Oryzias latipes: one gene and its partners. The protein of the gene in region 1 binds, or shares a complex with, the protein of each later gene. Links are inferred from orthologs where the notes say so. Each region holds a gene or a part of one and is shown on either strand. Other genes may lie near its edges.

Evidence for each region. Proteins that work in one complex are often made in the same cells at the same time.
Region 2: akap13 (region 1) and nod2 share a complex: the UniProt entries of both Homo sapiens proteins name them as parts of the signaling complex. The link is inferred for Oryzias latipes from reciprocal best matches to the Homo sapiens genes AKAP13 and NOD2.
Region 3: akap13 (region 1) and map3k20 share a complex: the UniProt entries of both Homo sapiens proteins name them as parts of the signaling complex. The link is inferred for Oryzias latipes from reciprocal best matches to the Homo sapiens genes AKAP13 and MAP3K20.

What each region holds. Positions count from the first base shown.
Region 1 is NC_019861.2:32,241,864-32,246,060, reverse strand, and holds the start of akap13 (A-kinase anchor protein 13), read left to right. Parts: upstream 1-1,392; 5' UTR 1,393-1,607; intron 1,608-4,197. UniProt on the Homo sapiens protein: Scaffold protein that plays an important role in assembling signaling complexes downstream of several types of G protein-coupled receptors.
Region 2 is NC_019861.2:30,237,995-30,242,134, reverse strand, and holds the start of nod2 (nucleotide-binding oligomerization domain-containing protein 2), read left to right. Parts: upstream 1-1,334; 5' UTR 1,335-1,414; exon of another isoform or gene 1,415-1,614; 5' UTR 1,615-1,692; coding exon 1,693-2,169; intron 2,170-4,140. UniProt on the Homo sapiens protein: Pattern recognition receptor (PRR) that detects bacterial peptidoglycan fragments and other danger signals and plays an important role in gastrointestinal immunity.
Region 3 is NC_019879.2:22,146,322-22,150,489, forward strand, and holds the start of map3k20 (mitogen-activated protein kinase kinase kinase 20), read left to right. Parts: upstream 1-1,362; 5' UTR 1,363-1,639; intron 1,640-3,741; 5' UTR 3,742-3,790; coding exon 3,791-3,949; intron 3,950-4,168. UniProt on the Homo sapiens protein: Stress-activated component of a protein kinase signal transduction cascade that promotes programmed cell death in response to various stress, such as ribosomal stress, osmotic shock and ionizing radiation.

The DNA of each region.
Region 1 (4,197 bases):
TCATTTGTTCTGGCCTGGGGAGCAGGAAACCAGTGAGCTGGAGAGATAGCAGAAGTTTTCATGGTTGTGTTTTCAAAATAAAAGCAAAAGCACGTGCAATTTGCAAGATTTTTCTTATGTGCATTAAACACATACTACAAAATAACTGACTTGTCAACCAAGATCAAGAAAAAAAACATGAAAACAACAAAAACAATATGAAACTACGTTGCCAACAAACACGCAAAAGAAAAATATCTTGTTAAGGAAAGATTTTAAGAAAACCCATTTTAACCATCTCATTAAAAGTGTTTTTTTTCGGGGGTGTTTTTTAACATGTTCTTGTGGCATTATTCTGATGATGGAGGACAAATATTAAGAAAATTGTGTTCAAATTGCATTTCTGAGTATTTCTTTATTTAAATGTTGGGAATCAGGAGCGTATGAAAACATATTGTTTGAAAAAGAGCGTATTTGTTACATAACAAATACGCTGGCCTGGGCACAAGCTCACCATTCCACATGAACAGAGAGCTCTCAGCAACGGGAGAGAGGAAGGAGAGGCAGGGCCGATGGTTCCTTCCACAAGTCAGAGGTTGTGTCCAAATTCCTTTACTAGTAACTACATAGTGCACTATTTAGTGCGTTCGCTATTATGTAGAGCTTTCCAAATCTACAATTCTAAAATAGTGTGCCCTAGAAATTTCCAAAATTTCTCTGCAAAAAACGAGTGTGCATTGATACTAGATTGATACTAATACATTGCATTTGAGCAATTTTTGTGAAACAAATGTATTTTAATTAATTTTGTCATAAACCAACTACATTTCATGATCAGAACACAGTGGATTCATAAATACTCTGTAAAATGCTAGTAATTTCTTAGCTTTTTACTTGTGACATCATTGATATAATTAATGTTTAAACAAATGTAGTGAGCATGATGTCCGAATTGCTTTTAAAAGTCCTATGTCGAGTGAACCAGTGTGTCTATGTCCCATAAAATGTCACAAGTTTTAATTTTTTGATAAAAATGGCTTAATGATACTTAAAAGACCACTGGAAACACTTTCAAAATGGATCTAGAGATAATTTGAGTGGGTTCTTGGAATGGTTTTATTTTGAAAAGGCCAACAGGATGTTTATACACCTTGTTAGCTTACTTTGGGAAAAACTTCCAGCCTGTATCGAAAAGTAATTTTAAAAATAATCTTTTATACATCAGAATTTTTTTTTTCTTGTTCTTTTTTTCTCCTTAATTTTTTTTAAATGTAAGGGATCACAGATGGGTTGCAGTACCACAGTTTGAACGTTAGTTGTCACTGTTCCGCTCTGTTTCGTTGAAAGTGAACGAAAATCCCAGGAGTCCTAGCGGAGACTCCTCCCACTGAGTTGTCCTGGGAAACACTAACAACTAAGAAAGTCTTGCGCGAGCGCCGCGGCTCCTCAGCGACAAGGACGGAAAAGCCCAGCGCCGGTCGTCTGTTTAACTTCTCCAAAACAAAGTTTTCTTTGAGAGAACAGGGCAGCTCGGCGTAGCTCCAAGCACAGCAGGCTGACTCTGGGAAGGATTATTATGTGTCTTAAAGGCGCTGCGCCTTCACGCTGAGCTTCTTCAGCTGCTTTAGGTAAGAAAGAGGACTCGTTTCTCTCGCTTCGCCAGTTTTTGGAGTAAAACGCACGCGGGACGTGTCGCAGTTCTGGCGTGGTTCTGCGTGTTTTTCGTGGAGAGAAAGTTGTGTTTTATAACTTGTTGCTCGGTAGCCATGACATCCTCGGTCGGAGCCTGTCCTGCAGGGCCCGTGTGGGAACTTCTCACGTTTCTGTGAGCTGAAAGGGGCGAGCAGCTACTCATCCGTCCTTAAAAGTATAAAGTGACCCCCCCACACAAAAGACTCTAAGAAACATTTTGAAGCTTATCTCAACATTTTTACATTTTGAGGTCGTTCACAACTTTTTTTTCTGCCATAATGAGATGTATAGACTTATAATTATAGGCCGTACAGTTGTGAAGATAATGACCATGCCAGTAGGGATATAATGGTTTTTGACTGGTCATACTTGAATTTATTGTTATTTTTCTAATGCATCTTGAATTAAACCACGATATATTTGCAAATATATATTTTTATTTAAAAATAAAAAAAACTTGTTATTTTTTTTCCTTTAGAGGTAAAAATCTGTGCCTAAGAGTAAATATTTAGTCTGAAAAAAATACTTGAGTATACTCAACAGACAGTGTCTTCAATCAGAGGCTTCTTCAGCCACACTACAACAACAGGCTGGAGTTTTTCCTGCCAACACTTTTCTCTCTAATAACTTCAGGCTGTGCCTCTCCTGCTATTATGTCTTTATGTTTTTAATACTGCATCACTTAAAAATTCCCTCAGGGGCTGCGGTCTCTCCATACATAGTTTACATGATGTACTCTTGCCTGGAATTAAGCCAACATTTTTGCTGCGTTGTCACTTTTTGGTTTCTGTCTCTATAAATGCCGTTCTGACATAGCAAAGCTCCTAGCAAACCAGTGCTACTGTAGATGAGAGTATATGGGCAAAGCTGTAACAATGCTTTCAAAGAGAGTTGACGAGAGGATAGGACTGAGTCTTTACTCCCCATGCAGGCAGCTATCAGAGTCACAGTGAAGATAGTGACACTGATTAAAATTGTGTTTGTTTTGTATCCATGTGACAGCTGGATCCAAAGTATGTCACATGACACTGCAGTGTCTGAGGAAATGATGTCAACTTCTAACGAAAAGGGAAAGGCCACAGTGCGTGTTTTTTAAAGTTCCACTCCACTAGGACATGGTTTTTGCAGAGTGGCTGTAGTTCATTAGAAATTTGTCTCTGAGTTGTGGACTGGACTGTTGGCAAATAGCAACCCCCCCTCCTCGCTAGCTTACAACCCCTCATGCCCCCAACCTAATATTATCGGTGCAGCAAAAATGGCGAGCAATATTGGAGATATCCAGTCATACAGACAGATACATGGTCAGACGAGGAAAACAAAGACGTACATGGGTCGAATGCAATCTTTTTCAAACTGCATTTTTTTTGTCTGCTTCTGATTCACAGTGATTTGAACAGAGAAAAACTCAGAAAAGCGATTTAAAGCTTTATCTTCTTGATATAAGTCTGACATCATTAGAAAAACCGCCACAAGAACACGCTAAAACACAATTTTAATCAGAGGGGGTCTTTAAGGAAGTTCATCTGGACGAGTTTTATAACCCGTCCTTCCTATTAGAGCTCCTGGACACACGTCAGGAAAAACAGGGGCCTGCTAATTCATTTACACCAGTTTGAGTCATCCCTTTGCAGACACTCAAAAGACCAGACACATGACACGGCGGGTTTCTGCCTTCTCATGACAGACCTCTTCCTCCTTGGCCAGTGGGCCTGTTTGGTGTGAGCCTCGTGTCAACTGTGGACTGCTCACACTGAGTCAGTCAGTCCAGGAAAAGAAGGGTCTTACATGTTTCTTGTGTCTGTGTCCCATCACTCAAATATTTATCAAAAGATTCTGTTTTTTTATTAGATCATTTTTGCCCCCAAAAGAGCGGAAGAAGGGCTAAATCTGACTGTTAGGCCAGCAGAACTGATTCTTGTGGGTTTTGTATTCATCCTTTAACAGACTCTAAAAAGCCGATGAAGTGAAAGCAGAAACTGGTCCGTTCTGACTACATCCTGAAACTTTTATTTTGCACCACGGGTGTGTTGTATTTGCAGTACCACTTCATCATCTGGGCTAAAATTGAACTTTTATGTGTCAAAGGGAAGTTTGCCTCAGTGACCTGTGATTCAATCTGGGGGCTTTACAGCCGACTCACAGGAAACGTGCGAGCTTTTAGCGGTTTGGTCGTTAGTATTTGTCAGTTAGCAGTGCGGCACTGTTTTACCTACACCCTTCCTTTTTGCAGATGGCCTGATTTATTTAAGAGAATTTGTGGGCTGCAAAACATTTCAACTGTTACCGGTCTAAACTTGTAGGATTGGTAATATCTAAACTTTCAAATTCAATTCATCCAGTTCATTTTAGTACTGAGAAATGCTACGAAGTTGAATAATTTCTCCTCTCAGATCATTTTCTCTTGTTACTTCAGCTGATTCCATTAATCAAGTGTCAGAGAGTGAGTGCAAGGCTGAGCCCCTGATCCAACTGAGGCGCAGCTCCTGGCACTGAAGCCTTTCAAAACTACAGCAGAGGTTTGGCGTT
Region 2 (4,140 bases), about 2.0 Mb from region 1:
TTATACGCAATCAATAAGTAAATCTGTGCATGATTTTTACACGATGCACACGCAGATTTGTGGCTTTCCATGTATGTCCAACAGACTTTTCCCACATGTATCACCGATGTATAACTTTTATATTATGTATACGGCACGCATATAACATTAAAATGATCGTTTTCGTTTTTTCCGGAATCCGGTTTTTTAGGAGTTTTTCCTTACCAGGAAGGGGGGTCTAAGGGCAGGGATGCCAGTATAGCTTAGTCAGTTTGTTAGTTCCTTTTAGTATTTTTCCTAATGAACTCTATGTATTCATGATCCTTTTGAGTTCATGCTTCACTTTTTCAATTCCCGATACAAAGCCCATTGAGACGACTGTTGTTGTGAATTTGGGCCATACAAATAAAATTGAATTGAATTGAATAAATTGACGCACGAGTGACTTTATACCTTATTTTTAAAGTCTCTCAAGCTGCTCTGGACTCCTGTCTGTTATTTAGATGACAGTATCCCCCCTTTAGGTTTCACACAGGATGCCTTACAGGTAGTACTCTGCATTACACTCCCCAAGGGGGAGCTGCCTGTTTCTTGGTGAGGAGCTGAAAAGAAGCTATCTTTGATTTCTTCTGCTCATTTATGTTTCCCTTCAGAACAGAGAGGCCTGATAACGAAACAATCACATGGTCAGGACGGAGCAAAAAAAAAAAAAAATTTAAAAAGCATTCATCTTCTTCCGTTAGTTCCCTTTCGGGGTCACAAGGCTGCCAGAGCCTATCCCAGCCACTTGAAAGAAATTGAAAAAGAAATTGAAAAAGCATTGCAAAATATGATTTATGTATCTCATCTTTTGATTTTACTACATTTCTATTCACCTTTTTTCACATACAGTTTGTTTGGGTTCTAAAATAAAAAAGGCACAAAAAAAACTACATAGCTGCAGAAATTCAGAAATATGTCAACCCCAATGTCAACCAGTCACAGGTTTCTCTACAAACCAGCTAGATTTTTTTATTACGCAACAGTTCCATCAAGTGGGCGCAGCATCAAACTGCAACCCTCGTCTCTGAAACCTTTCTCTCTACTTGATCATGTTCCACACAGCACAGCTTTTACATAAAAGAAAGGGAGAAATGAGCATTGTCTTTAAAGTTTTTTTAAAATATAAAGAAACCTTCACATTTCTGCTATAGAAATATGTTTACATGTGATAGAACTAAGCAGAAAATCTATGCTGCAAAATCCGCCCCAACAGGGAAGTACTTCAGACAAACTGTTTTTATTTTTTTTAACCAACATTTACTTTTGATTAAAGTTGTGCAAAACCAGTTTCACTTTCAGTTGTGGAATGAGGAAGAGGACAGACAGAGGCTCACCAACAAATGTTTCAGGACGCCCAAATGAGAGAAGGAGCCCCGATTGCTGACATTTCGTAGTGAGAGATCATATTTTAATAGCAGGTTTTCAAGTATATCTTCAGGTTTTGACAGAATGTGACTCATGTGGATGGACGCCATACAGAGATCACTAAAGAGCTGTGTTTTGTCTACCTATGGCGTCCAATGCAAACTTGTAAAGCGAGAATTGTAAAACTCGTGGATTCTTGCCATGAATGATCACATCTGTGTTTGGCAGGCTGGGGCGTTGCGAGCAGCACAAGTCCAAGATGGAATCTTGGAGCATGGAAGCTGATGCGAAAAAAGCCCGTCTGCCATGGAGCGTTTGCTGAAGCAGCGTACAGAGATTCTGCGTGCTCTCTGCAGTGGTGGGTCAGCTGAACATCTGGAAAGCATTTTGGATATACTGCTGGCTCAGGAAGAGATCACATGGGAGGACTACCAGAACGTACAGGTTACAGGAAGACCACTGAACAGCAATGCCAGAAACCTGCTTGACCTGGTTTACACAAAGGGTGCAGACACCTGTGAGCTCTTCCTCGCTGCTCTCAAACAGATTCTGCCAAAAGAGCAGGGGGCTGGTCTTTGCTTCTTAGAACACTCATCCACTTTGGATGAACTAGAAGTCACTCAGAGGACATGGACGGAGACGGTCCTGAAACGAAGACCTAGTCTGGTCTGGAAACTGCAGGGCTCCGTTCATGATGCGGTGGAAGCTCTTGTGGAGTCTGGACACTTCTCCTCTGCAGATGCTAATGAAGTGCTGCTACCTGTTTACACCCCGTCTCAGCAGGTGAGCATTTTTAGGATAACACAAATGAACAAGACTTGATTGGGTAGGCAGGCTTTAGGTATTTGCATTTTTACAACTGTTTATTAAAATATTACAATAAAGTGTTTAAATATATATTTTTTTGCTTTGGTTTAAAGTTCCTTTATTTTTCAAGAGTTTTTTTTAATTTTAGATTTTATTTATTTATTCGATACAGGGACAGCGCATATTAATAATTATTTCTGTCAATATTCATTCAATTTTTTATCTGGGTAGATGTTAAAATCACCTTACAAGATCAAAATAAAATTACATATTTACATAACATTACATACATATATTAAACCATACATTCAGTAAAATTAGTAGTTAACCTAAAATTAAATTGGCAATAAAACAATCCAAATCGGACAAATGCATAAACATATACACACACACAAGACAAGATAGTAGCGGGTAATCAGTGATAGGAAGTGTACGTAGTGTTGACAGCTCTGATTGTCAATGAGCCATTTCTTTAACTGTGTCTTAAATGATTTATATGTGATTTGATTTCTAATAGTCATGGGGGTGAAGTTCCACTCAGTAGCAGCTCTAACAGCCCACTTAAATAGTAAACCAGCAACCATTAAAGAGAGTTTCAACTGCTTTTAAAATTTGCTACATCAAATCCTGCTAACGTATGGATTAATGAGACCCTGACTTTTTGAAACTGTGTGTATGTTTTATTCTAACGTCATTTAAAAAAAAACACACAAAAGATAAAGATCAAATGGCCATAGCAGTCAAATTGACTGTTTGCTATATTTTTCTGATCTTTTTTCTGCTCCAGTGTCTTTTTGTTTTTTTAATGCTCTGTTTTTTGATGCTCTCTGCTGTGCCAAGTAGAAGAAAAAAACAACTGTAATAAAAGTTACCAGGACTTGGAAAAGGTTTGATAGGATAAATACTCCATGACATAAAAATTAAAATTAATTAAAAGAGAAATTTCATGTCCTTTCTACTTTTATAACATGATTTTTGTTTCATTTTTGTCATGGATATATACACGAATATAAAGAGAAACTAGAATTTTCCCAAAATGTGAACATATTTTTTACTTTTGAGAGAAGCTCATATAGGAGGTCAAATGACTTTCTTTTAAAACAAAGACGCTCTGTGCAGCTAATGTACTTCTTCAAACAACTCAGGGCATAAACAGTGTTTTCACTTTTTATTTTTTAGGTCGACTGTGGTGAGATATCATCTTTTTTTTCTTCCTGCTGCTGTTAACAGGAACATAAACATGACTTTACTGCATTATGATCCAGTAGAAAAAGTTCACAAAGAGTACATAAATATATGTGGGGTTTTTTTAGCAGCTCGCTTCTGTTTAAATACTAACCATTTTTGTGCAGCATGAGACAATATGTGCTTTGAACTGAACTGAGCAATTAAAGAAGGTCAAACTTTTTACCAAAGTTTTGCTTAATACTTGAAATCTGTGTATTCTGAAGGAAGCGTAGAGCGAACAAGGCCTCTTGATGTCAGCAGGGATGTAAAAAACCTTAGTTTGTATGTCTTCTAGGTGCACCTGAGCCATGAATTTATAAACTTAATTGACCAAATTCGGGTACACCGAGTGAGTGACAATGTTCTGACTCTGTTTTGGCTTACTGTGGCTGCCCTGTTTGTGTTTTAAACCCTGACACTCGCCCACAACCTTTCCCAACAACTGGTGTTCCTGGCACCACCCAACAAAAGATCAGCAGCTTAATTCTTTAGCTCGAATGAGATATGCAACTCTCTATCCGTTGCACAATTTTAAAGTACATGCCAAAGACTGTTCTCCTCTTACAGATTAAAAAAAAAACTACCCACTCCTCGACATTTCTTGTACCTAAGATTTTTCTTTAAAGCACTTTTAACCTAAAATGAGTGACTGTCAGTTTTACTCTCGTCATGTTCCTCATTTCTAAGTCACTTTGCATACAAACATCTGCAAAATCACTA
Region 3 (4,168 bases), on another chromosome or scaffold:
TGCTTCACAACATGACATGTGCTCAGATTATTATGAATTTACTCCAATCACATGGAGGACCTAATGAGGCACCAGATAATGACATATTGTTTCAAAAGCTGTTGGCTGACTATTTAAGTCTTTTATTACTGTAATTTGGGATTTTCAACAACAGTAATTGTTGCCGGATGAAGTACCTCTCATATTGGGGCAACACAGAAACCATCTCAAACTCCAGCAAACCTCGAAAAAGACAAAGATCTTATTGAAGGATGGGAATTGTGATGTTGAGTACATGATGCTTGCAAAATTCTAAATCTCAATGTTACTCATTTTCAAGTGTTTTGAATCTTTTACCAAATAATATTTGTACATATTCTTCCTTTTTTTTTTGTGCTGTAACTGGCTTATTATATTTAAGATGACTTTTGCAAATGGATGACTGTAATGATTATTTATGTGAACCCAATTCTTTTAAAAAGTATCTAAAGTTGTTGATTTTTTTGTATCACATACAATTTTTTAGATGTATTAGTGTACTGGATTAAGTTTTCTTTTTCATGTTTTGCTTTTATATAAATATGTATATATTTTTCCTTTTATTTTTTACATTTTTCTACACCAAGATGAGAGGAATTACAATATTTGAAACAATAGGAGAAAATGTAAGGAGAAAAACTAATGTCTGTCTTGGGCAAACCTTTTCTTAATGGAATAACAAAATGTGTATTTTTTCCTCCCCTTTTGAGGAAACTTGTGTAAAAATTAAAATCTCATTGTTCCTTAAACACATAAATAACAACAGGACCCAATATATTTATTAAAATTTTGCTATAAGTTTTTGTTTCCAGAATTTGTTTAATATTGCCAAAATAGTAAATGCTACAAATATTGAATTCATCTACATGGGTATAGACCAGATTGCTGTTTTGCTGATTAATAACTAATTTGTATACAATAAAAACTGGCTATCTTGCACATTAAATTAAACTATTTTTTAGGAAATCACTACTGACATTTCACTACTACATTTGCTGCATTGAAATTATCCTTTTAGACACAGGGGTGTTTTTTATTGGGAATGGACATGTTTTCATCCATGATTCAAAGTAATATGTAATTCTCAATTGACAGTTCAATTTGCAATTTGATCATGCAATATGAAAATGCCTTTTGCAATTGACGTGTTAATGACTAACTCAGGCTTGCAATATCAAAATGTGCTTCACAATTTATATTTCAAACAAGAAAAATTACAATTCAGTATTACAATTAAAAAAAATGAAATTAAAGCAAAATCAACTGCAAAACTGTCAATTGACAAAGTGCATATTACTTTGAAATATGGGAGGGGTTAAAAAAACTTCCTCTGTGGTGTGGCTCAAGTGCCATGTGGGGTTGTTCAACGTTCATCCAGCAGGGGGAGCTGTTGCCTTCAAATTGGAGGGGAACTGCAGCCGGAAAACTGCCACACAGCATAAAACAGCTTGTTGCTCAAACTATGCAACAAGCGAAACTTCACTGGGAGAGCAGAGAAAAAAAGGGAGACTCCACACGTGACTTTCCGGAACTGCAGTCGCTTTTCGAGGTCAGGCTCATGCCCGGCGTGAACGGAACCCACAACGTGCTACTCCGAAAGCCGAACCTTTACTCTATGGTGGTATGTATGTATAGAACGCGGTCTAATAAAACTATTTAGCTACATAATTCAACTCATTCATTGTATTGCTAAAGCTACGTGCGCGCGCGCGTGACGCCTGTCGTCTGAAGCTAAATATGCTTAAACCACAGTCATAATCCTGTTGTAAACAAAGCGTAACTTTTATGTTTTTGGTGTCACATTATGTTTTAATGCAGACGCAGACTTTCCGTTCAGATCTGATTACAACAACCTGAGCTTTCTGAAGTGGCCATCAGGTCTCATTGTTGAGCGTTGTTTGCTGTTAGATGATGAGAGGCAGCAACACTGACAGGAGGGGGCGGGGGGGGGCATATCCAAGTAACCCTGGTTTCTTGAGTGGTCAGACAGAATGAGGGGGGGGGGGGGGGGGGTTGCTCTCTGCAACTTAGCAAATTGCTTTGTAGCTAAGTATAGCATGAATACAAGTAAATCAGCTGAAAGCAGCGGCTCCCCTCTGCGACAATGGAGGCATTTCTTAGTGTGATGGATAGTAATCCCAATGAAGACCGAGGCTGTTGGCTTTTAAAAGCCGTAATTGCTCTGCTGTAAATGGAAAACCCAGGAACAATAACAGAGCTACAATTTCCTTTAATGATGGATCCCCCCACACACACTCCTCCTCCTTTTTTTTTTTTACTAGATGCTTTTATTTTTGCGGTGGACAAACAGGAGGTGTGATGATCAGTTGGGGTGGATTTGGTACATTTGGTGTTAGGGCCACTATGGCCTATAAATATTTTTTTCACACCAAATTTGATTTCCAATTTTAAGCATTTTTGTTCTCTTCATCAGTTTGACTTTCTTCAATCGTGTTTTTAACATTTTCTCGTAGCTTTTTTCTAATGATGGGGGACAAATTTAAGATTAAAACCGCCTTTCTTAGTATTTCTTTATTACAAATCGTTGTGAAGCAGGAGCAGATGAAAAATAATGTGTTTGGAAAAAGCTTGCAGCTCTGACATAGGTGCTACAATGGGCAGGCCTCATGCTCCACTCCATTCCGATGCATCCACCTGCAGACGATTAGATCCATGTACGTTTTCCTCGTCTGAGCTGGCATCTGGCTCAAAACTGTACAGCTGGATGGCACCGCCATTTTTTTACCCCTGTACTGTGAGCTTGCGGTTGTGAGGGACTGTAAACTAGCAGGAGAGAGTGTAAAGATGATGATGCAAATTTCTGCCGCTCTGCAGGAACTACGTCCTAGAAAACCACACAGCTTTTTTGATTTTGGCTGAAAAAGGGCAAAATCGCAGTTAAAAGAGCACTGGGAATGCTTTTACAATATATCAAAAGATAATTGTGACTTTAAACAAAAATGAAATGATGTAGTTATTAAAAACTCTTTTATTGTAACATTTACTTTGGGAGTTCAACTGAATTAAGGGGTTTAACAGTTAATTTGCACAACGATTCAATTCATATCATAGTTTTTATTTGCTAGTATGATTCATAATCGATATTGGTTCATTTTGATCGATCCAAATCACTGACCTAAAATCGATCCAGGACATCTTTCATCACCAGTGGGACTCAGAGATAAATATCTGGATACTGAACAGTGCAGCTGAAGTTTTCCAGATTCCTTGTTTTTCTTTCAAGATAATCAAAATTAAATATGAGTACAAAGAAACAAGTAAACAAGTATCAGTGGATAATCCATTCACATTTCAGTTTCCTACTGTTTTTCCACATCAAAAGAATCCAAAGGGAACATTATGAGAACATGATACCACACTCTATGATCGTAGCCAAATTCAAAGGGTTTCCACACATCGGACTGCTATGATGACTTGATCTCTTATTTTTTTTCTTTTGCGACCATCACATGCGTGATGTCACATGTGCAGTGCTTAAACCAAGCACAGCAGTAGATCCTGCAGGTCACTGCATCATATGTGTGTGCACGCATTGGCTGGAGCCTGAGCTTGTTGTCACTGATAAGGGCTGGAGGTGGAAAATGAGGAACAACTCAAAGATAAACTGACTTGTAGGATCAGGCGGGTGCAGTCGGGCTGCTGTTGCACCGACAACTTGGATGGACTTTGTTGAGTGACTTTTTTTTTCTCCCCCCCCCCTAGTGACCCCCCCCCCCCTCCTCAGAGGCTGAGTTGAAGCTGCCATTATGAGATGTCGTCTCCCAGCGTTTCTTTCGTGCAGATCAACTTCGGTGACATCCACTTCTTCGAGAACTGTGGCGGCGGCAGCTTCGGAAGCGTGTATCGAGCCAAGTGGGTCTCCCGGGACAAAGAGGTGGCGGTGAAAAAATTGCTGAAGATTGAAAACGAGGTAGGAGCCGTGATTGCTGGGGCTGTTCGTATACTTTTTTTAATTGTCAGAGTGGTAATCATTTTAATTGCTACCCTATTTTTGTTGGATGTGGCGACTTCTTTGCCCTTCACGTGTGGTCATTATAAACTCCTCCAGTCGGAAAAACGAAAAAAAAAAAACAACAACACATTATTGTTAAATGAAAGCACATACTACAGCCCCCACCCCCCCACCCAT